3 linked regions of the Arabidopsis thaliana genome follow. The gene in region 2 interacts genetically with the main gene of each other region. Each region holds a gene or a part of one and is shown on either strand. Other genes may lie near its edges. The genes, in order: PIR121, GL3 and MYB23.

Region 1 (6,681 bases), about 10 Mb from region 2:
ACCACAGGAACCCCAGATCAGTCAATATTCCAATACTTGCTGCAGCCATCGTAAATTGAAGTTGAGGAGTCAGCTTACAAAGCTATTGATATGGCTCAATAAACCAACCAAAAAGACATTTAAGCATGTGGGTTACCCGAGTAGTCCAATATGTGCAAGAAAAAGCTGAGCTTGTAAAAAAAAGTTTCTAATTGCTTTAAGTCATTAACAGGAATCTCAGAGCCATTATTTCCAAAGAATCCCCCTGGCCTCCTCAGATTTCCACCAGAGACAACCTCATATATCAAAAACTGCAAGCAATGCACCTGAAACAACAAAAAAGCAAGAAGTTCAAGCACTGGATCTTACCATCTGTTGTTGTACTTAAAATCATCTTGAAATGGACCCAAACCTGTGCTGCTGTTGGGGCAACAGGCCTCGGATAAAAGAAATTCCCTCTGCTTTCATCATTTCCATGTTGTGAAGATGGCATCTCATGTTCGGGCCTGGTATTTGCCATCCAGTCAGCTGAAAGTGTCCGCATATCAGAAAGAATCCTGAAATGCAACCATACATATGATAAGTTAACAATATGCAAAGCTTAAGTTTAAGAGAACATGGACTTGAAACAGAAAGAAAATAAAGGAAAACCAATTCACCTTGAGAGATCTTTCTTCTTTCGGAAGGTGGTACGCAACATTGTGGCTAACGTGTTCTGTACAAAATCTTGAACTTCGGCATGTATTGTCTCCCATAAAGCATCTGCAACTAATGTGTCACAGCGCTGCAGCATCGATCCTACACTCTTTATATAGCCAACAAGTTCTACCAAGGCTTTCCTTTCTTCTGCAGTATAATTGAACCTCACCACCTATTTAAAAGAATCCAAAACTTGTTACCATAAAAGATAAAACTTTTCGAAAATATTTCACAAGTATTACCTTCTCGTAATCAGAATATGATCCGGAGGCTTCAGGAGTCTCTCCTGCATCCCTACATGGGCGAGAGAATTTCCAAGCACATTGCTCCCAAATGCGTGCTGTCCATCTACTTAACAGTTGGAAACCTTCAACAACCATATCGTACATGTTTCCTTTGACCTCTCTGCACCATTCAGTATATGCTCCATCGTTTGACTTCAACAGCAATAACTGCATGAAAGCAAGTGAGAACAACATCCTAGAGACTCAAAATAAGAACAAGAAAATTGGAGCTCCAGGGATAGAGATAGCTTGAGCACCTGATTCATGGATGAAGCAAATCGGATTGTGAAATCGTCATGCTCAGCACGGAGAGCTCCAATGTGATTGACTATCAAATAGTGCCTCTGATATGTAAAATATGTTAAGGCTTGCAATTTTCAAAGCATGTGTACGGTTAACAATAATCCAGATAATAGTTAAAATAGGCAAGTAACAGTGAAAATATTAAAGGATATTCTAGCGCTTCACGTGGAGGGAGCTCATGAGGTGCTGGAAGAGTCAGAAGGCGAGTCTGTGATGAAAACTTTTGAAAGTATACCGACAATTCTTTCAAAATTGCAGCAGGAGAAAGATGGAGATCTGGAAACGCAGGAATGACAGGATCATTCTGATAGCCGAAAAACACACAACAAATATGACAATTAGCGACTTGGAAACAAGGCTTTGCGGTATATTGGTTGTGAATGCGAAAACAGGTATAACATGAATCTCAATACCTTGAAAATGTTTATCAATCTGTTGAGTTTTACCCTCTTGTATAAAGCCTCGGTATCTTTCTCAGATGGTGTTGCTAAGACAACAAGAACAGGTAGAACCCGGAGAAGAATATACCGCTCAGGAAAAAGTAGTGCAAAATCCAACTCCAGAGACTCCACGATGAAGACTATGAGAACTTGGAGAATATCTTCCACACTGAATTTACTAAGGAATCCAAAAGCTTGCAATATAGTCAAATGGCACAAGGGACTTGAGCAGCATGCATATCTCAGATAGACAAACCCATAATAATGTCTTTAACAGCCACACGATGGTGATAAATGTCTGGAAGAAAGGATACTTGTTTACACGGAACATCTCAACGTGCAGGTTGAGTAAAATAGCCCATCTTGTGCTCAGGAAGATCTGCATACATAAGAACTCACATTTTCATTTACGACAAACCACAGGGGAAGGCATTATCAAATGATTGCATAAACAAGCCATGCAAACACCTGCAAGTCGTCTAACTCTTCTCTCATTGTATCTGTATCTTGCCACTGCGCACTGACTTGAGTGAATGTTCTGAAAAGAGTGAAACTATCTTAAGAACATAAACTAAAAAAAAAAGCTTCTAGGAAACTAATTCAACTCTTAAATAGAGCTTTAGTAGCTGAAAGGATTAGTAACAAACATCGATCTACCTACATTCAAGTGTCCTATTTGCAGAAAATATAGATAGGAAAGATAAAAGTATTATATCTTTCACCTCTTATACCAAGAGAAATCATTAGGAATGCTAGCTTTAGCATTTTTAAGATGATCCAGCTGAACCAAGACGTCAAGCAACTTTAGCATTGACCTATATTAAGTAAAATCACAGTTAAACTATATACACGAGGAAAGTTAATCATCCAAGGATCTAATACAAAACACAAAATAAGAGTTATAACCCACCAAAGATGTGTGACTGTGGGACCATTGATCCGCCGTTCAGGTCTGGAAAACCGCTGCATGTCAGCAGCTAACTGCACAGACAGAGAATATACGCACATTATTTCTGATACAGGAATTTATATAAAACGAGTTGGACGAGGAAGGATATACACCGCACTTTAGCTGAAGCCGACGATTGCCATCTTTGAATTTCGCGTAAACGGCTCATTTCTAAGTCCAAAACTTGATATGTTTCTAGATACAAATCCGCTTGACTATGCTTCATAGATTCGGGAAGCTGCATGTATATCATTAATAAAGAAAGTTATGTGTGTTATGGAAGAAATATACACAACAACACCCAGCAAGAAGTACTGTATTTGATATTATTTTCAGTAATTTCTATCATTCGCTATTATTTATACAGAGAACTTTGTTGTTGCTTTTATTTTTGCATTATAACTGCATTATACTTTGTAGTTCAAAAAAGAGTCTCGTACAGTTGCTACGAGATTTCGAATACCATGAAGAACTAACGCATAGCATAATTCTCAAAGCTACATTTTATCAGATAAAATGTCTAAAGGTAGATATGCAATGGAGACAAGGAGTGTAGTGATAGATTTCACAAGGACCTGAGGCAGTGCTTTGACACAACTTCTATATGTGTATAGAATTGACGCCATCTCTTTTCCTTCTTGTATAAGTGTATTCTGCATATATACAATTGGTTGAAAACTTACTTGAAGTATTCAAATATAACACGATTAACACAACATAACCGTAAAAATATCAAATCGTAATTTAATCAGTCTTTCTAAGATGAGGCAAATGAAGAAGAATAGCCATATACCAGCTGGTTAAGAGCTTTTGTGTCTTCTGATAGAGACAACCGGTATGCAGCGACGTCACTATATTCTACAGAATAGTAATAAAAAAAAAAACATCTTGATTATTTGGATTTTATGGTAAAAGAGTGACAAGAGAACAATGAAGCATACCGATGGGACTATCGGTTGCTGCTCTTTCAGCTGAAACCATCACAGCCGGTCCTTGGACTTCTGGTTGCTCATCCTATAACCAAAATTCAAAATGCTTCAAGAAAATGTACTAGAGTGACTTCAAATTTTTCAAGAAGCTACTTAAATCTTCAACATTTCGTTGAAACTTATTTTACTGCTAACTTAGGCAAAGATCCACAGGTGATTAAACAATATATGTGATAATTTTACACGAAAAGGATTTAACAAGAAATAGAAACAATAATTTCATATCCTTTCTAGAAGAAAATTTTGAAATATGAACTCCGGAAAGAAAATTTGTAGTCAAAAGGATCCAAAGACCCACAATTTCTAAATTTTACCAAAATCTAGAATATCGAAGTTACCTCTAAGGAGAATGTGGAAAGAGCTGCGATTGCTTCCTCTACAGGAACCGCCATTGAGTCACCTGGAAAGATCAGACGAAGCAATTAGCAACATTGGGCGACTAAAGGATAAAGCTTTCAACTTTAAGGCTCTTACCCAACAACAATGGAGAGGAGAGGAGAGCTGCTACTACTTCAAGTCAATTGATTCGCCTTTCTTCTGATTCTTTACGGACAGAGATCGATAAATTCGCTACTACTCTGTCCGAACCAAATATTTCGCAAAGTTGGAAGCTTTCTTTTTCTATTTGTTTTTCTGTAACAAAAAAAAAATGTTTCTTTTTGGGTCCTCGTTTGTATTTTCACCTTTCAGAATTTTTCTTTAGTACATATTTGTTCAATCCGATTAAAGCTTTGAGAAGAAGCATTACATTTGTGTCTTTACTATGAAGCAAACTTGATGACAGCTAAATCATTATTTACTGATTCCTTTATCCTCAACCATTTCTTATTTTGGGAAAATACATAAGAGTAATACCAGTAACAAAACAAAATAGATATAAATACAATTTTACAGTGAACAACTACTGAACATAAAATAAGTTACTTTGTAGAATCAGTAACAACTTTTAAGGTTTAACCGGAGCCTTAAACCAATCCGGATAAGAACCAGCAGGTGTTGGTGCTATCGGTGTGAGCATGTAAACCGTTCACGGTTAAGTGTTAGTAGCCTAATGGAAAGGACATGCCGTCTAAGTCTAACCAGAAATTTTTGTTGTAAAAACATATGAATTGAGAATGAAACTCTAGAAAAAGCGAAAACTGTCTTGGATTCAAAATAAAGTACTTTCTTTAGCTACAAAAATAGGGAATACAATAAAATGGAGACGAAGATGATTAGAAGAAGAAGAAGAAGAAGAAAGAGTAAATTATTCATCCAATTGTTTCAAAAGCCTGAAGAGACCAGCTGCTTCTCGAACCCGAGAAAACTCAATGCAGAAAGCTTGAACTTCTATGAATAGATCCTTCACTGTTACATTTTTTACCCAAAAAAAACATATATCACCCACAATTGTACATCATACTAATAGACTATAAAAGCTTCCTCTGTGAATGTATCTAGTGATCTTTCTGTGTTATTAGCAAAGCAAAACGCCTAATTTGATAGCAATCAGTCAGAAACAGAGAATGCATACCGTTGATGATCTTGTTACGAATTAAGCTTTGCAAGAAGACGCAAACAAGCCGTACAAGCCTATTCTGCATGTATTTGTCTTGCTGCTACAGATCGAAAACAATATATCACTATACCGTTAACAAAACAACTACATTGAAATCAACAAATCCGAGAATCATATACACAAAGCACATAATGCAAAGCACAAGCAGAAGTTTTTTCACACAAGATTATAGGATGGCGTTATGGATACTCATAGAAAGCTTTGTTTTAAGTACCTAACGGGAAATCAAAAGGACGCTTTGTTTTAATACCTTAGCGTTCTCACAAGACGATATGCAATTAGTGATGTACATCCGTATGAAGTCCTTGGGAAGTTCAACTGCAGTTGTGAGCCTATTCACAACTTCCATTGAGTGCAGGCTCATGTCCATATTTCCTAGAGCTTCATAATAGCTGAAGAAGCATTCTTAGATTCCCACTTTAAAAGTTATAATTTTGGTCGAAAGTAAATGGTGGAACCAATAAGGTGATGACTTACTCATTAATCTCTGTGGAGTTATTCAACTTGGTGAGAATTTCAACTGCTATCTGAGGATTGTGCTCTACTAATTGCTGAGAATAAGAAACTAGATCACATGAAAAAAAGAAAAAAGAAAAAAACCACCTGCCAGAAAATGAATCACATACCGGCAGCTTCCGTGGAGTTATTCCGCAGTGAAAGACAAGCTTTGGGTCATTTGCCAATTCTGTAATGATGTCCTGGCCAGTAAATAAATAAAACAAGTTATTTCAATCACTCAAAAGATCCAGGTTTTCTAAATTCATCAGCTATACGGGCAAGGCTGATGAAATAAAACATCACAATCACTATTTATCTATTGCACGGTTATTTTCCATAAACTCTTACTGCAGTCAATTCCTTCTTAATATCCTAGATCTTTAAATCCAATGAGAAAGGAAATACTAGAGTGATAGCACGAGCACGACTTCTCTCTCAAAACTACTGCCATACAATGGCTGCCTTTACAACCTTTAAAATTTGTGCATATGTAGTTACTGTCCCATTGCTATGTTAACTTGCTTATAAGTGTTAGAGTAAGATAGGTAATAAAATGGTCAATACTTGTATGATTTTATGCGCATATCAAGAATTAACGAGCGATAACATACCTCTTGCTCCGTAGGTGAAAGTGTCACCTTTAAACCCTTAACAAGCAAGTCTCTAACTGTTGCACCACTGCTAGTATCAGCACACATTTTATCGTCCCAAACAAGCTCATGCTTGTTATCAGGGTCAATCCAAAGCAACTGTAAGAAGTTGAACCATTTAGGTCAGTTCGATAATTTTCTGAACCAGTTGAATAAGGGGTTATTCTTATTTTTACCTCGCTCTGATGAACTGGGTACCTTGGTGGACATGGACGGATCCACCTAGGACCTAATCCCCCCATTGTCAAATTTCCTAAGAATCCAGATAGTGCCTCATCCCTATCACCAGATCCAATTCTGGGATTCACTCCAGCTTGCACATCAAACCTATA
Region 2 (8,556 bases):
CCTTACTTGCTTAACTTTCTCAGGCTTAGTCTCATCTTTCTTGCTCCTCCTCTTCCGGGTTTTCACAGGTTGTTCTCTAGTCACAGTTTTTGTTCCATTATCAATCTGATTCGACTCAAGATTTGGGTTATGAATGATAGGATGCTGGGTCGAGTTTGAATCTGGATCATCGCTTGAAGAATCTTCAAAGTCGTTCTCTTTCCTTCTGAAATCCCATTTCTCACTGAATCTTGGCTCATCTCCCATTCTTAAAGATTCAGTCTAATTTCACTCTGTTCTTACAGATTGCACCTTTCTTTCAAAGATTTTTCATACAGCTGCAAGAATAAAAAAACACAACATGGATAACTATAAACAACACAAGTCTGTTGTAGATCGAAATGGATTACGGATCAGCACATCATCAACTTTGTAAAAAGATGGGAGTGTTCTTCTAAACAATGGAATATTAGGCGAGGAGATAACAAATATAAACCAATATTAATTGGAAAACTGTTTAAAGCATATCCATAAATACAAGATTAAGGATTCATCTCTGTAACACAGGTAAATAGAGAATGCATCTAGTAAAACCCGAGTAGTATTGCGATTATCTCGACTTAATTCAAAAGAGAAACTATTGTAAACTACATTTTCGAGAACTAAGAAGTACACACATAGTTAAGAAAAATATCCGAGATATATATAAAAACATGTAAATGCAAGTTCTTACCGGAGAGAAGAATTTTCAGGCCATCTTCACCATTCTCGATCTCTCCCTTGAGTCTTGTCTGATCGCACACTTTGTGTGTAAAATCGACATGTATCTTTGAATTTATGTTTTCGGTTTTGCTGTTAAAAAGGAAAGGAGTTATGTTTTTGTCTGAAAAAATATTTTCCATATGAGGTATATTTTATTCAAAGAAAAATATTTTTAGTCATTAATTTTGGTTCTACCTTCTAAATAACAATATTTTAGCTTTCCAATTTGGATCTTTTTCTTGATAATCAAGTTTACCCATTTTTCTATATTTTATATTTTTACACAAATTAGAAAGTAAATTAGAATTCACCTTAGAATTTAAAGGAATAAGATTCATGTTTTTATACTATTGTTTAAGATTTTTTTGTCAACACAAAGATTTTAAATGATAAGATAAGAGTACTCTGGTTTTCCATTAATATATGAAGATTATTTTCAGTTTGGGTTTGAAATATCCTTGATATTAAACGAAAAGAATAACATGAGTTGGTAAGTAAAACATAATAAGACATGACTAGATAGGTAAAATTACATAAAGCAAATTAGAAAGTAATTTGGTCAACACCTCTAAATTTGTAAAAATAAGATATTACAGCATTTATTTTTGTTGATTTTCACTATGTTATTTCAATGAAATCATTTATGACCCAGTTAAGGAAATTAATCTGGATTTCTTATCATAAACTTTACCTCTTTGTTATCCATGAAAATGCCAAAATGCAGAATCTTCTCCCGTTTCGTGTGAAGCTTTTTGACCACTAATTTTCATTTACACATTAATGTTTTTTTCCCCGTAATTTCACATCAACCTTGTGCTTAAACAACAAAAGAACACAAAATCATCTAAACTGGCTATTACTATTACTAATACCCTTAAAATAATCTACCTCAAACAAAATACGCATAGTGTATGTTCCTCTTCACCTACGTTAAGCAACGGAAAAAAAGACACAAAAAAAAAACAAAAAACAAATGATAAACATAACATTAATTCCTAAAACCCGGTTAGAAGAAAACCAAAGAATAGAAACCAAACCGGGAATGTTTTTTCTTTGCTGTCAATTTTAACTAAGTAGTCTTCAACAGATCCATGCAACCCTTTGAAGTGCTTCTTTGATCATTCCTGGTGTCGCTATTTTTGACCCCTTGTGCTGAAACCAACACATTTCATGTCAATCTAGGTTAACCAAATCCTGGTTAAGCCAAAAGTAGGTTAGAGAGTATACCTTGCAATTGACGGTTAAGCAGAGCAAACCGTCTCCGGTCGAGGATTGAACCGAATGAGAATCCAAATGGAGATCACTAATCACATCCATTATCTCAAGCAATACTCCTTCTCTCCAAGCACATCTAAGCTCAATAACCACCTCATTACCAAACGAACCGATCCTTAAATTATCGGTTAAACCAGTAAAACCGGTATCTGCTGGCTCGGCTTCACCAACATTGTTAACCGACACCTTCTTCCCATTTCCTGTTTCATTATTTGCGCAATTAGCTGATGTTCTTTCTCCTGCGTCGCATGGTTTCTTCCTCTTCATCGTCATCGTCCCACGAGTCTCTGTATCGGTTGATTCTCTGCAAGATTCTAGTTCTTGAACCCGTCTCTCGAGTTCTTGAAGATACTCTATCGTATCGTCAAGAATCGATACTTTATCGATCTATCGAAAATGTTAAACATAAGATTAGTTACCTCGCGATATATATGGATTTGAAATTTTGAAGAATCGATTATATAAATATACCTTGTTGATTGACGGAATGATTTTTCTCAAGGTCATGAACCGTTCGTTCAATTTCTCGCGGCGCTTCTTCTCTAAAACCGCATGGTTCCCAGTTTCATCTCTGGCTTCTGGTGAGTCCAACATTAACTTCTCTTTCTGGTGCACTCGCGGAACATCGAAAATAATTTTCTTTAACATTCCTTGTGATGGTGCCGTGACCGTGGCGGTTCCTGATGATGATGACGATGATTTCTTCCACCTAGTGAAGCTTGACTGTTTATCGCAGTTTCGAAACTGCGGTCCGAGAATTAACTGATGGTTGGTCTTAAAAATCGTTGAGATCACACTTTGGTAATGAACGTCGTCGTTTCTTGGATCAAATGACAATGTCTTCACATTTCTCTGTTGCTCTTGAATTTGCCCTAGTCTTTGAACTCTACTCTTTCTTGCACCGTAAGCAACCCGTCCAGCCGCCCCTTCAACAAACGTTTGAGAGACGCAATCGCTGGAATTTAGCGACTGGTGAACGCAGTTACTAAGCTCGTCGTCCATGAGCTGCCAGCTTTGCACCTGAGAAGCTCCTCCAGTGATTCTTTCGGTCATGAAAGAATCATGATCATCTGCTACTTGTTCATGTTCTTGATCGAAACCGTTGGTAGTTCTGCTCGGAGAAGCTGTTGGAAAAGGCTCCGTACTGAACATAGGCGCGTAAATCTCGTCGCCTAGAATCTGTTGCGGATCAAGAACGTTGTCGATGTGATAATCGGATCTTGCTGGTAATATTGTAGCGTACGGATCAGGGGCTTCGAGGAATGATGTCTTCACGCATTGTATTACATTCATGTCTTCCGTAATCTACGAGACGAAACACACCAAGAAAAAGCCTTGAAAAAGTTTTCAATTATAACTATACCAACGAGCTAGTAAAAAGTACAAAAGCCGTATTTTCGCGTTTTGTCATAACCAAACCGTGGAAATCTTTAAAAATCGAGACTACTAAAATATTAGTTTGTGTGTTCTTGGTGTCTATACCGTTATTCGACAGATTGAAGGGTCAAATTGAAATGTTAGAATACATTGTGGTAATTTTATAATTATTCTTTTTTTCTTAATAAAGGATTTTCATAATAATTATTCTAAAACATTGGAAGCAGAAAACACAAATATTGGCTTACATGTTCTGTGGTACCAATCTCAACGACTCCTCCAAGGAACGGGAAGCAAACCACTGTCTTAACCGCAGCACTCTAAACCACCACAAAACGCAAACAAAAACGAACGATTTTAGTGTTTTCAAATCGCAAAAAAGTGTTACATAGCAACTACATCAATACTACAACTTACTTTTGCTAGAAGAGAACGGCTAAACACTTTACTATCCGCCGTATGAGCGTTGCACAACCATATCGGTTCACCGTTTGCAAACGTCCGTCCAGGCATTCTGCAAAAAGACAGGTTCATTTAGAAAGCAGCAATGCATTCTAAGCTTAATTTTTCCACATTTTTTCTTCCTAACATATTCATAATTATTGAAAGTTAATTAGCCGTGTTCATAAAGACCAAAATGAAACGAATTTTTTAATTAATCCGGACAGAAACAAACTTTTGTGATGATAAATAAACCGAACTAAACTCGAATCGAACACAAATATACTGCAACCAAACCGAATTAATAAAATTTATTAGATGTAGAATAGAGTTAAACATACTAATGCATATATATACACATTATTATTTAAAATTAATTATGTTTTAACTTTTTCTTTTGTAATCTGAAACCGACCAAATCCGGACATTAAATTTTGAAACCAAACTGAAACTAAAAAATTGGTTCTAGCTCATACTTTTTTCCTGCAGAACCCTGAAATCTAACAAACCTAAACTGAACCATAAAAGTCGAAATCCTTGGACCTACTAGTATTAAAAGTATATTTTGGCACGTTGTTTAAAACTGGCAAAGATCAACACGATCATGACACATAATAAATGTCAATGCTGATAGAGGAAAAGACGGAATTACCCTTCACCAATGTTGAAGACGAAAGACATACAAACCAAATAGTACCACTCGGTGTCGGCGAGATCTTCCGGTGAAAGTGCGGCGGCGGAAGCTCGTCTGGTGACTTGAGATCCGGCAGCAACGCCTGAAGAAGAAGATTCAGCGACGGAGAGAGACTCGTAAAGCTCGCTAAGCTGCTCGCTCCTCCGTAGACCAAGCTGATCAGCTTTGATCTCCGAAGCTTGAATCGTCTTCCTCGTTTTGATATCTCCATTATAGTATCCATCTCCCCATTCTAAAACTCTTTTTATATATAGAAAAACAAAAACAAATATCAAATCGAATAAAGAAAACAAACAAAACATTTTCTTGAACTAATCAAGAACTTCAAGAAGAAGAGAAAAAAAATTGAACTTTTAAAGAAGATCAAGAAACCTTATATGAGTTTATAAGAAAAAATCAATGGAATCAAGAAAAACCTAGAGAACCTTGTCTTGAGTTGTAGAACTAAACACTAGTTTTGATTTGAAGTGAACACATAAGTTTTATCTAATTTTCCAATTAAAATCAAGAAATTTACTTCATCAATATCTTTCAAAATCTCCAATATCTAGTGTTCAATGAATATGATTTAAGAAACTTACCCAGACTGAGAAGCAGAGACAGACCAAAAGATACCATAACTCCATTGAATGTTTCGAACTGAAACTGCGAGGTGTTTCTTCAGATTCTCTGGCACAGTTGTTCTGTTTTGTCCGGTAGCCATTGTTTCTTCATCCCTATATCCCATGAAACCACACACAGGGAAAAAGAAAAGAAAAGAAAAAAATCAAACTTTTTGTCCTGATTTAGAAAGAAATAAGATACTATGTTAAATTTATAGCCTAAAAAAGAAAGAAAAAGGGAAACTTGTAACTCTTTACATTTTTTTTGAAGTATCAGAGAGGATACAAACTAGATGTTAAGGTTTTTGTGTTTGTCATTTGATGAAACAGTTGCCGTTTTCGCCGGAACAAACAGAGAAATGTTTGAGAGTTTTTTTTTTCTTTGGTCACTCCATACTTTTTTTTTATTAATGTTGTTTTGAATATTAATTTTGTTGTTGTTTGAGCTTGAACTCGAAAGACTAGAAGAACTGTCTACGAATCCTTTTTTTCTTTGAATATGACGATATCATCTTTGTTGTGTACAGAACAAAACACAAGACATTTATGACGAAAATAAAAAGTACTTATAATTTTTTAATGATTTATGAGAAAAAAAAAGGATACAAAAGTAGAGGAAAAAAGCAAAACGCTGATGTTGATTGATTGTTCCTCTTTTTATCTTGAAGTTGATTGATTAGTTCCTCATTTGGGAAGAACAACCTTTTTTTAAGACAATGAACTACAATGTCCATTGTTGTGGTCTTGTCTTCAATAAATTCTCTATTCAGTCTCTTTGTGGTTCTAGAGATCTCTTTTTTTTGGGAATATTGAATCATTGTGTGTCTCTTCCAACACTGATTTTAAAGTTAAAATGTTATCACGTCAAGGCTGAACTTTTCACCCATCTATTCTTGAAAAAAAATGTTTCCCTCACTTAATATCCCCACTGATACCAAAAAAAAAAAATTTGTTTCCTTGACTATTAGATCTTTGAAGCAATGTTGACTAGAATACCATTAGCATGTGATCCAAGTCCAATCTAACCAGCATCGTATGATTTCTTTCATTTTGTATAATCTAATCAGTCTTATTACTATTTGAGTGATCGAAATATATTATTGTCGGTGAGTAACATCGTTTTATGAATTTTCCAAAAGTACACAAAACGACCAAAAGTATAATGTCTCAAATCAGAGTATATGATTAACATATATAATAATAGTAAAATCATCAGCTTTTTACTTGGTGTCAAAACGAAGCTAATCGCTATGAATCTAAATTATAGTCACAAACACAATAATAGATAAATTGAGGAGGAAAGAGATAATATAAGAACAGTCTTTACTAAAATTGGGAAACACAAAGAAAGACACGAAATTAATGTTTGGCCTCGAGGAGTTCCCCCAATACGTACAGACACAATCTTAATTTTTGCAATCACATCTTTAAAATGAATAAAAATGTTATGGACATTTTCGACGTTGATTCTCCCTATAGTCATATACTTACAATATTATTATATTTCAAAATTCTCTTATACTATTAAACCTATATTTTCGAAGTATTTATGCAACTATTTAAAATATAACTTTAAATAAAACCCTGCTAAATGGACCATTAGTACTTATTATTTTCCTTTTCTGACATCTAGAAAAGAGAGAGACGTTGACGTCAGAAAACATTAAAATATATATACACGTTCGGTCCCCTACAAGATCAAAGTCTAAACATTCGTAGTGCTGTTGATCGGAGGTTTCGGTAAATTAATCGGATGTGTTGATGTTTGAGGGTAATATTTAGGAAATTTGGTATAGCTTTCGATACAACAATATAAAATTTGTCTGATCCAAACTTATGTAACACTAATATATATTGTTATTTTCAATCAGAATACTAACTCAAGTTAAATGGGGAATTCAACTCCTAATCCGATGAAGCCTTGCTGGTTTGGATCAAGACGTCATCTTCACTTCAACAACTCCATCTCCTGACTCCTATCTTTCGCTATGGTTTGCTAATTTCCAACAAAATTAGACCACATCTTTACTGATCTTACTAGAACACTCGTCTCTATATGTTTATCTTATTTGATTGTATCTGAGCATTAAGGCTCCTCTGTAAGACCTCTTTCATATATATAAACGGAACTAATTAAAAAAAGAAGTAATATATATATATATATAGGGTATATACTATGTTGTTATTTTCTTGACATAGACGGCACAGAAGAAATAATGTTGTAAACACGGCCATTAAAATCATAAACTTTTGGGCATGTACGAGAAGATGTGAGAGATTCAATGCTATGTATAGGACAATGGAAGCATGACACTATTTTGCTATTAACTGGTTTGTATCCTCTCTTCTATGTTAAAAAACTGTATGTTTTCCCATATACTAAATGACATATGGATATAGCTGAGAAAATAATATTTTAATTTGGATATACTATATTGGTTTAACAATGAAACATAAGTGGTTCCACTTTCCACCTCATAAGGCATATTATCATCATCTTATATGTATCTCAATTCTCAAGGTTCAGAAAAAGGTAAGATAGTTCATCTAAGTCAATGGAAGTCAAACTATGTAAATAATGGGCTTTTGATTTGCTTCTTGTTTATGATTTGATTCAAAGATCATGGTGGATCTTAGGAGGTAGAGAATCACATGAATTTGGATGGGAATTCAAAAAATTATACTTAATTTGGCTTAATGAAACAATTAATAAAGAAGAGACCAAGAGTCAATATTGTCACTGGCGACGTTAATTAAGCCATCAACTATATAATTTTGTCATTTCCCAAAATTGTCGTTATTACTTGTTGCGTCTCCATGAGAATCATAATGAACATTAGACCTCGTTTATTTAATTATATCATTAAGCCCGTATCCTCTTTTGTTTTATCCTGCTTTTTATAGCATTATTTTACTTAGACTCTACTAATATTAAAGTAAAATTTAGCTACCTATTTGTATCTACCATTGTGAAGTTATTTAAATACTACACTATAAATTTGTACAATCTTCGTTTAAGTTTCCTCAATCTCTATATTTTTCTTTTCTCTTAGCAATCAATAAAATAATATTTTTAAAAACAAAATATTTTATAAATTAATATTCGATAAATTAATAATTACTATAAATATTTATAGTCTTAAATTAGATTAGTGTACAAAATTGATGCAATTAATTCGATAAAACATTAATATATTATTTTAGTTTAGTTATATATAGACATATAATTCCATTATTTTGATAAATTAATACTTATATAAATTTATCATATATATATATATATATATATTACATACAAGAAAATTTAGTGGAATATGATATATATATATATATATATATATATATTTATTTCATTTTTTGAATCTGCATTGATTTTTGTTAGAGTTTGTTCCTAATATTTTTACTGCATCGAAAAGTTTTGGTATT
Region 3 (5,898 bases), 400 kb from region 2:
GACTTTTTTAAAGTTTACCAACTTTGATACTAAACCCATTAGTGGGCTTTTGGTTTATCACTCTCTTGAAAGCCCACTAATTTTATTATATTACAAACAAAATTTTCAAAATCCTTTCGACGAGTATTGAATGTTTGATGAAGCCATACAAAGAGGGAGGTTGGAGATTTTTATTAGAAAGGGAGTCTCGTCGAGACTGAATCATTTACGTAATGCTAATTAGTGATCCAACAACATAAATGTTCTAAGACAATGAACAAATTCAACCATTTGATTGATCACAAAAAATGTATCCAGATAATGTATAAGAGTTAATTAAGATATTTGGCCAATTTCAAATTCAATTATCAAATTCAGAACATTAGGCTTAATCATGTTTGCTTGTTCATGTTTGCTTGTTCGTTTTTGCGTTAGTTCTCGGAGAAGCTGTAGACTTCTATCTTTGAGGTTTTGTGGACGGACCTTGAATAATCATGCTCGTGGCAACTAGGATGAGGATTCCAATACTTCGGTACTGCGGCAACAACGCAAATTTCCGAGCTTCGCGGACTCGGAATCGGTGTTTCTCCTCCTAACTTGGCCTTGATCACTCATCGGCGATCCTTTGCAATTAGAGTTGTAATGTTGTTCTTTAATTTTCTGTAAATTGTTTTGTTCTGCTTCTACTTTTCCTTGTAATTCTGTCAAAAACAAAAATGGTATAAAATTTCACCTTTTACCAAAATTAAAAAAAAATAAAAAATAAAAAATTCAGAAGATTAATTTATGTGCAGTAAAATACATACATAAGAAAAAATAACGGGACAATATATCTACTATTTTTTAGTTTATCACATCTATGATAATAATAAAATTATGAAACAATTAAAATGCCTAAATATGAATAAAATATAAAATTATTTAGTAAATAAATGACATAAAATGATAAATTCTTACAAAATAAATGTGAGATGATTATATTGCTCCTCAATTCATAAATAAAAGATGAGAATTCAAGATATCCATTGCTGTCACGAAATCTACCAAGTCACGTTAACGTGATTGGTTTTAATTTTAAGACATAAATACGTTTTAATGATTTGGTTTACTTTTTTGTTGGAACAATTTATTTAAGTCAACCAGAAAAAATAATCTCTAACAGTCTTGGCTTCTTCAACTAACTTTCAAATTCCAACGTACGAGGTCTGGTCTTATCTAAAGTATGAATATGTATGATAGATTAATCGTCATTGATTTCAGAACTCTAACATTAGTCAATGTAATTAATGTATAATTAAGAGACACAAAGAGCCTAACCTGACAAGACCTCATTCATTTTATAAAAATCTTACAAGCGGGTGATACGTAGAATCAAGGCTTGTAACAGCTGGATTATCTCGGTTGACCATATTTGTTGACTTAAAATGAAAAAATTTCCGACCTTATGCAAGCGAAGATTATATTTTACTCTCCTTTTATCATTTTAGATTTTCTCACATATTAAAACTATACCATTTATTTATAAATGTTCGAGTATAAATCATTATTAGAAAGATGCCAAACTAAATGATACAGTATAAATTAGATATTGGTAGTCTGTATTTTCCACTACACTAAAAGTTAGGATTGACCTTTTTTTTGGAGAATCCAGAATTAGATATAGAAACCAAGAGTTAGTTTTCACAGCTGAAAATGCACTAGTTATCACTTTAATTTGATTAAGTTGTTCTTTTCTGTACAAAATACGGAAAATCTTATGTGAACGCCAATGTACGAATGAAGTAGAAGTATAAACACTTAACTTGTAAACTAATAGGATATTTAAGTTGGTTACATTAGGGACATAACCAAATAACTTTCTAGTATAAGATTTTTTTATCAACTGATCATCCTTACTTTTACAAAAGAAAGTACAAAAGCTACAAGCAAATATTCGGAAAAAAATTTAATTGTATTCATATTATTATTATTGTTCATTATAATCTATTATTCGATAATTAATTACTTTTTAGAAGCTAATCATCAAAGATATTCAAAGGCAATACCCATTAGTAAAATCCATCATAGTGAGTGAACTAAGCTCGAAGTCGTCTTCAAGAACCCAAAAGGTATCGAACAGATTTGGAACCGTAGCTGCAACTTCTACGTCAGTTGGTGTTGCGTGGACTAGTTTGGATTTTGGTTTGAGTTTGGATTCGTCAACTAAAGTGTCGAACCTTAGAGTTGAATTTTTTCCACCGGAGATCTCTTGATGAGAGGAGGACGTTGTGGTTATAAGGGCCATAGACGGTGGAGACTCTACACCGCATGCGGCTTTGACGGCAGTTGAATGATCTCCGAGACCAAGTTTCTTGCTGAGATGTGTGTTCCAGTAATTCTTTACTTGGTTGTCTGTTCTTCCCGGAACTCTTTTCGCTATCAACGACCATCTAAATATTAAAAGAATTTACGATGTTAGATTAATATTTTTATTTGTGGTCTCTTAATCTTCAATTATAATAAATAAATATTGTATTATACACTATATGGATTTTCGAATGTGCTATAAATATGTGGCAAACTTTTGAAACAAGAAATCTTGTAAAACGGAGTTAATGCTTATGCATGGACCTATATAGAGCATGTGCGTAATACATGTAGCCAGATTATGTATGTTGTAGATGTTTATATGAGACATGTGTATATATATACAGATGATCCATAAATGAGTACAATTATGAATCATTGTTAGGTTCGAGAAAGCATATTTTTTGAATAGAAACCTAGCTATACAAATTAATGGCCGAAAAAACAAAGGACAGATCTAAGATTTTTGATTCAAATTTACGATCCGTTTCTTACTACTATTTTTGAATAACCATTATTTGCTTTGTGGACGTTTGTAAATAGTAGCTTAATAAAATACACTTATTTTATGAATAAATGAATATAATATATCAGTTAAATATAAGTAATCTATATCACAACTAAACAATTTAGAGATGTTTCAACCAAAAATAAATAAATAATAATAAACAATTTAGAGATTACCGTGAACTAAGGATCGAACAACAAAACATATATTATAAATATATAAATTATGGATTAGATATATGTGATATATAGCTAGCAAGCTGTACACATATAAACAATTTAAAGATTCACGTGAATGCAGCACCGAACAACAAAACACATGATCTAACATATATAATACTATTAGAATTGTATAAAAGAAAATTAAGCAAATATATATCTTTGAATATATGGAGAAAAAAAAGAACCTGTTGCCGAGGAGCTTGTGGAGTCTGATGATGAGATCTTCTTCTTGGTCAGTAAAATTGCCTCTGTTAACATTAGGGCTTAAGTAGTTCATCCATCTCAACCTACAGCTTTTCCCACATCTCTTGAGCCCTAATTATCATCAAAAGTTTCAATCTTTAGTACTAATTTTTATTTCTTAGGACAAGAAAGAGAGAAGTAAGAGCAAGTATACCAGAAGAAATAAGAGAGTACTATAATAGAAAGAGAGAGTATAAATACCAGTTTTCTTGGCGATGCGGTTCCAGTGGCCCTGGCCATGAGTTCGGACATAATCCATGAGGATCTTGTCTTCTTCCACTGTCCATAAACCTTTCTTGTATTCATGTTCTTTTCCATCTCTTGTCATTCTCATTCTTCTTCACTTTTCTTGATCCCGAGGAGAGAGAGAGAGAGAGAGAGAGAGAGAGAGAGAGAGAGAGAGAGAGAGAGAGAGAGAGAGAGAGAGAGAGAGAGAGAGAGAAAGTGGCTGAGTCGGTGATGATTAGTCGAGCCTGACTCTATATATATATATGATTCGTGTGACGTATATATTGTTTTGTTTACATGTATATGTGCGTATATATATATACGTAAGGACATGTTTGTTTTGTTTGCTGTTGTCTCTCCAAAAAGTCCGTATATGGTAAAGTCAATCCCTACATTCTTTTACCAATAAGTCAACCTAACGAAATTGATTTAACCATTTAAACGGGTGTAGATATAGACAACATGTTCTTCTTACTAATATATGAGAGAATTCATCAAATAAAATAAAGTATAGTATTAGTTAGTTGTGGCAAAGTAAAAATATGTTTTTATCAAAAAAGGAGATAGAGGATTTGAAGAGTTTGTTCTCAAATTGATTAATAGATGGATTTAGTAGGGAAACTATATAAAGAACTGGAAGGGCTTGTTGACTCTCTATCTTGTTGGTTTTGGTTGAACAATACTAAAAATATGTGATCCGAATAAACTCAATATTCCTCAACTATTAGTTGAAAACGGTGTACTATGTTTCTTCTATTGTATATTTTCTTATAAGAAAGATTTGGAAACGCTTTGCCTAAAAATTAAAAATCTAAAATTTAGTTGAGATTTAAGAGCAAAAACGTCCACGTAAAATTGTGGTGTGTGTTAACACCCGTTAGAAAAATATTTTATTGATCTAACGAAATAATTTACTTCATATTCCGAGTTTCAAATTTCTTGCTCGTTATAATTTACCAAAAGTTATAAATTAAATTAAATTTGTATTATATTTTTTTGTAACACTATATATCTATATCTGTTTCCTTACTTTTTTACACCTGTTTTACATATGTTATACTCAAGCCTCACATTTTGTTTTTCATTTTAAAAATGTATTGATAGTAAATATGTTTTGAAAGAAAAATCTGGGATTTATTTATAACCAAATTTATCCATATCTAATAAAGTATGTAAAAACTGTAACAAGATATGTCTAGGTAGACATGTGTATCCCAACTAACAAGTTAAGTAGAAGTGAAAATTGAAAAAAAGGAAGGTAATTACTATTGGACACAATAATATTCCCTTGGGATAGACAGTAGGCAGTTTTTACTTTTTATATTAATACCAAACATAGAAGATCCTCTGGCTCATCCAGCTAAGATATGTCAATATGTCATGTGTGTATATGTTCATATGAGTATTATTTTTTGGATCGGATCCCAATGGAGGGAGTTGAAGTCGATATATATAGTATGAAACAGGAAAATACAACTTTGACAACAAAAAATATAATATACGAATATAGTCTGTATATAATAGTTTTGTTCAGGAAATAGGAATACACAACTTTGACAAAAAAAAACAAAAACAAAAGAGTTTAACATGTAAAATTTGCTTTAAGAATAGTTACTATTCTCCAAACAATGTTATCAGTTATAAGTTATAACTAAACTATAGAATTAAACATCTTTGATACAAAAACATAAGTATCCGTGATACCAAACTCTAGACAGTAATGTAATATGATAATCACTACACTAAATATATTATGTCGGGCATATGAATTATGTACGTCTATAGATTATAGCTTCCACTTGATTTAGCCTACTTTTATTAGTTTTATGGATAATTAATGATATAGGACCTATAGATCCTTTTAATTCCAAAACTTACTTTCAGATCAACCCAACTAGTTGATGTTGATCATCTAATCTATTAATTAACTACACTAACATTCGTATTTCATACATTGTATTCGTAAAGTCCTATAGACTAAAAAATAAGCTAAGCAATCTTAATTCTCTACTAGGTTTTGACATTGCATGGGATAAAATTTTCAATAAACATAAATTACTATATTAAGAAATGGTATCATAAATATGATATTATATAATCATAAAGGATCTTCCTAAAATATTTCATGAGAGAAATTTCTCCAAAATAGGCATAATCTTAAAGTATATATCCAAGAACAACTATACCCTTTTATAATCTTTATTTTGTTATTTACTAAAATATAATTTCCTTTCTTAAATGCATTTGTCAAATGATACTTTAGTTATATATTATTAGAAAAAGAAAAAAAAAATAGAAATTAACCATTAAATTGTGTAATTAAACTGTTTTTGCTTCTTACATTTCATCTCATTGCATTCATTTATTATTTTA

What was found.
Region 1: changes in GL3 (region 2) and PIR121 impair growth when combined (synthetic growth defect), as found in Arabidopsis thaliana (one study listed by BioGRID).
Region 3: of GL3 (region 2) and MYB23, changing one suppresses a phenotype caused by changing the other (phenotypic suppression), as found in Arabidopsis thaliana (one study listed by BioGRID).

What each region holds. Positions count from the first base shown.
Region 1 is NC_003076.8:6,100,749-6,107,429, forward strand, and holds the start of PIR121 (transcription activator), read right to left. Parts: upstream 4,233-6,681; 5' UTR 4,118-4,232; intron 4,044-4,117; 5' UTR 4,036-4,043; coding exon 3,982-4,035; intron 3,669-3,981; coding exon 3,596-3,668; intron 3,513-3,595; coding exon 3,448-3,512; intron 3,308-3,447; coding exon 3,230-3,307; intron 2,893-3,229; coding exon 2,773-2,892; intron 2,687-2,772; coding exon 2,616-2,686; intron 2,521-2,615; coding exon 2,428-2,520; intron 2,244-2,427; coding exon 2,174-2,243; intron 2,085-2,173; coding exon 2,020-2,084; intron 1,875-2,019; coding exon 1,679-1,874; intron 1,570-1,678; coding exon 1,418-1,569; intron 1,314-1,417; coding exon 1,220-1,313; intron 1,131-1,219; coding exon 921-1,130; intron 851-920; coding exon 639-850; intron 537-638; coding exon 392-536; intron 306-391; coding exon 137-305; intron 40-136; coding exon 1-39. Other genes in the region: AT5G18420 (CCR4-NOT transcription complex subunit), read right to left, coding at 4,890-4,990, 5,157-5,241, 5,452-5,593, 5,679-5,752, 5,828-5,899, 6,311-6,448, 6,526-6,676. UniProt on the Arabidopsis thaliana protein: Involved in regulation of actin and microtubule organization. Part of a WAVE complex that activates the ARP2/3 complex. Interacts with the active form of RHO-family GTPases.
Region 2 is NC_003076.8:16,526,132-16,534,687, reverse strand, and holds GL3 (basic helix-loop-helix (bHLH) DNA-binding superfamily protein), read right to left. Parts: upstream 5,599-8,556; 5' UTR 5,391-5,598; coding exon of another isoform or gene 5,389-5,390; 5' UTR 5,256-5,388; coding exon 5,110-5,255; intron 4,769-5,109; coding exon 4,487-4,768; intron 3,908-4,486; coding exon 3,811-3,907; intron 3,714-3,810; coding exon 3,642-3,713; intron 3,322-3,641; coding exon 2,488-3,321; intron 2,404-2,487; coding exon 1,969-2,403; intron 1,894-1,968; coding exon 1,822-1,893; 3' UTR 1,401-1,821; downstream 1-1,400. Other genes in the region: AT5G41320 (stress response NST1-like protein), read right to left, coding at 1-246. UniProt on the Arabidopsis thaliana protein: Transcription activator, when associated with MYB75/PAP1, MYB90/PAP2 or TT2. Involved in epidermal cell fate specification.
Region 3 is NC_003076.8:16,125,582-16,131,479, reverse strand, and holds MYB23 (myb domain protein 23), read right to left. Parts: upstream 3,756-5,898; 5' UTR 3,632-3,755; coding exon 3,499-3,631; intron 3,370-3,498; coding exon 3,240-3,369; intron 2,409-3,239; coding exon 2,012-2,408; 3' UTR 1,819-2,011; downstream 1-1,818. UniProt on the Arabidopsis thaliana protein: Transcription activator, when associated with BHLH2/EGL3/MYC146 or BHLH12/MYC1. Regulates the epidermal cell fate specification. Mediates the formation of columellae and accumulation of mucilages on seed coats.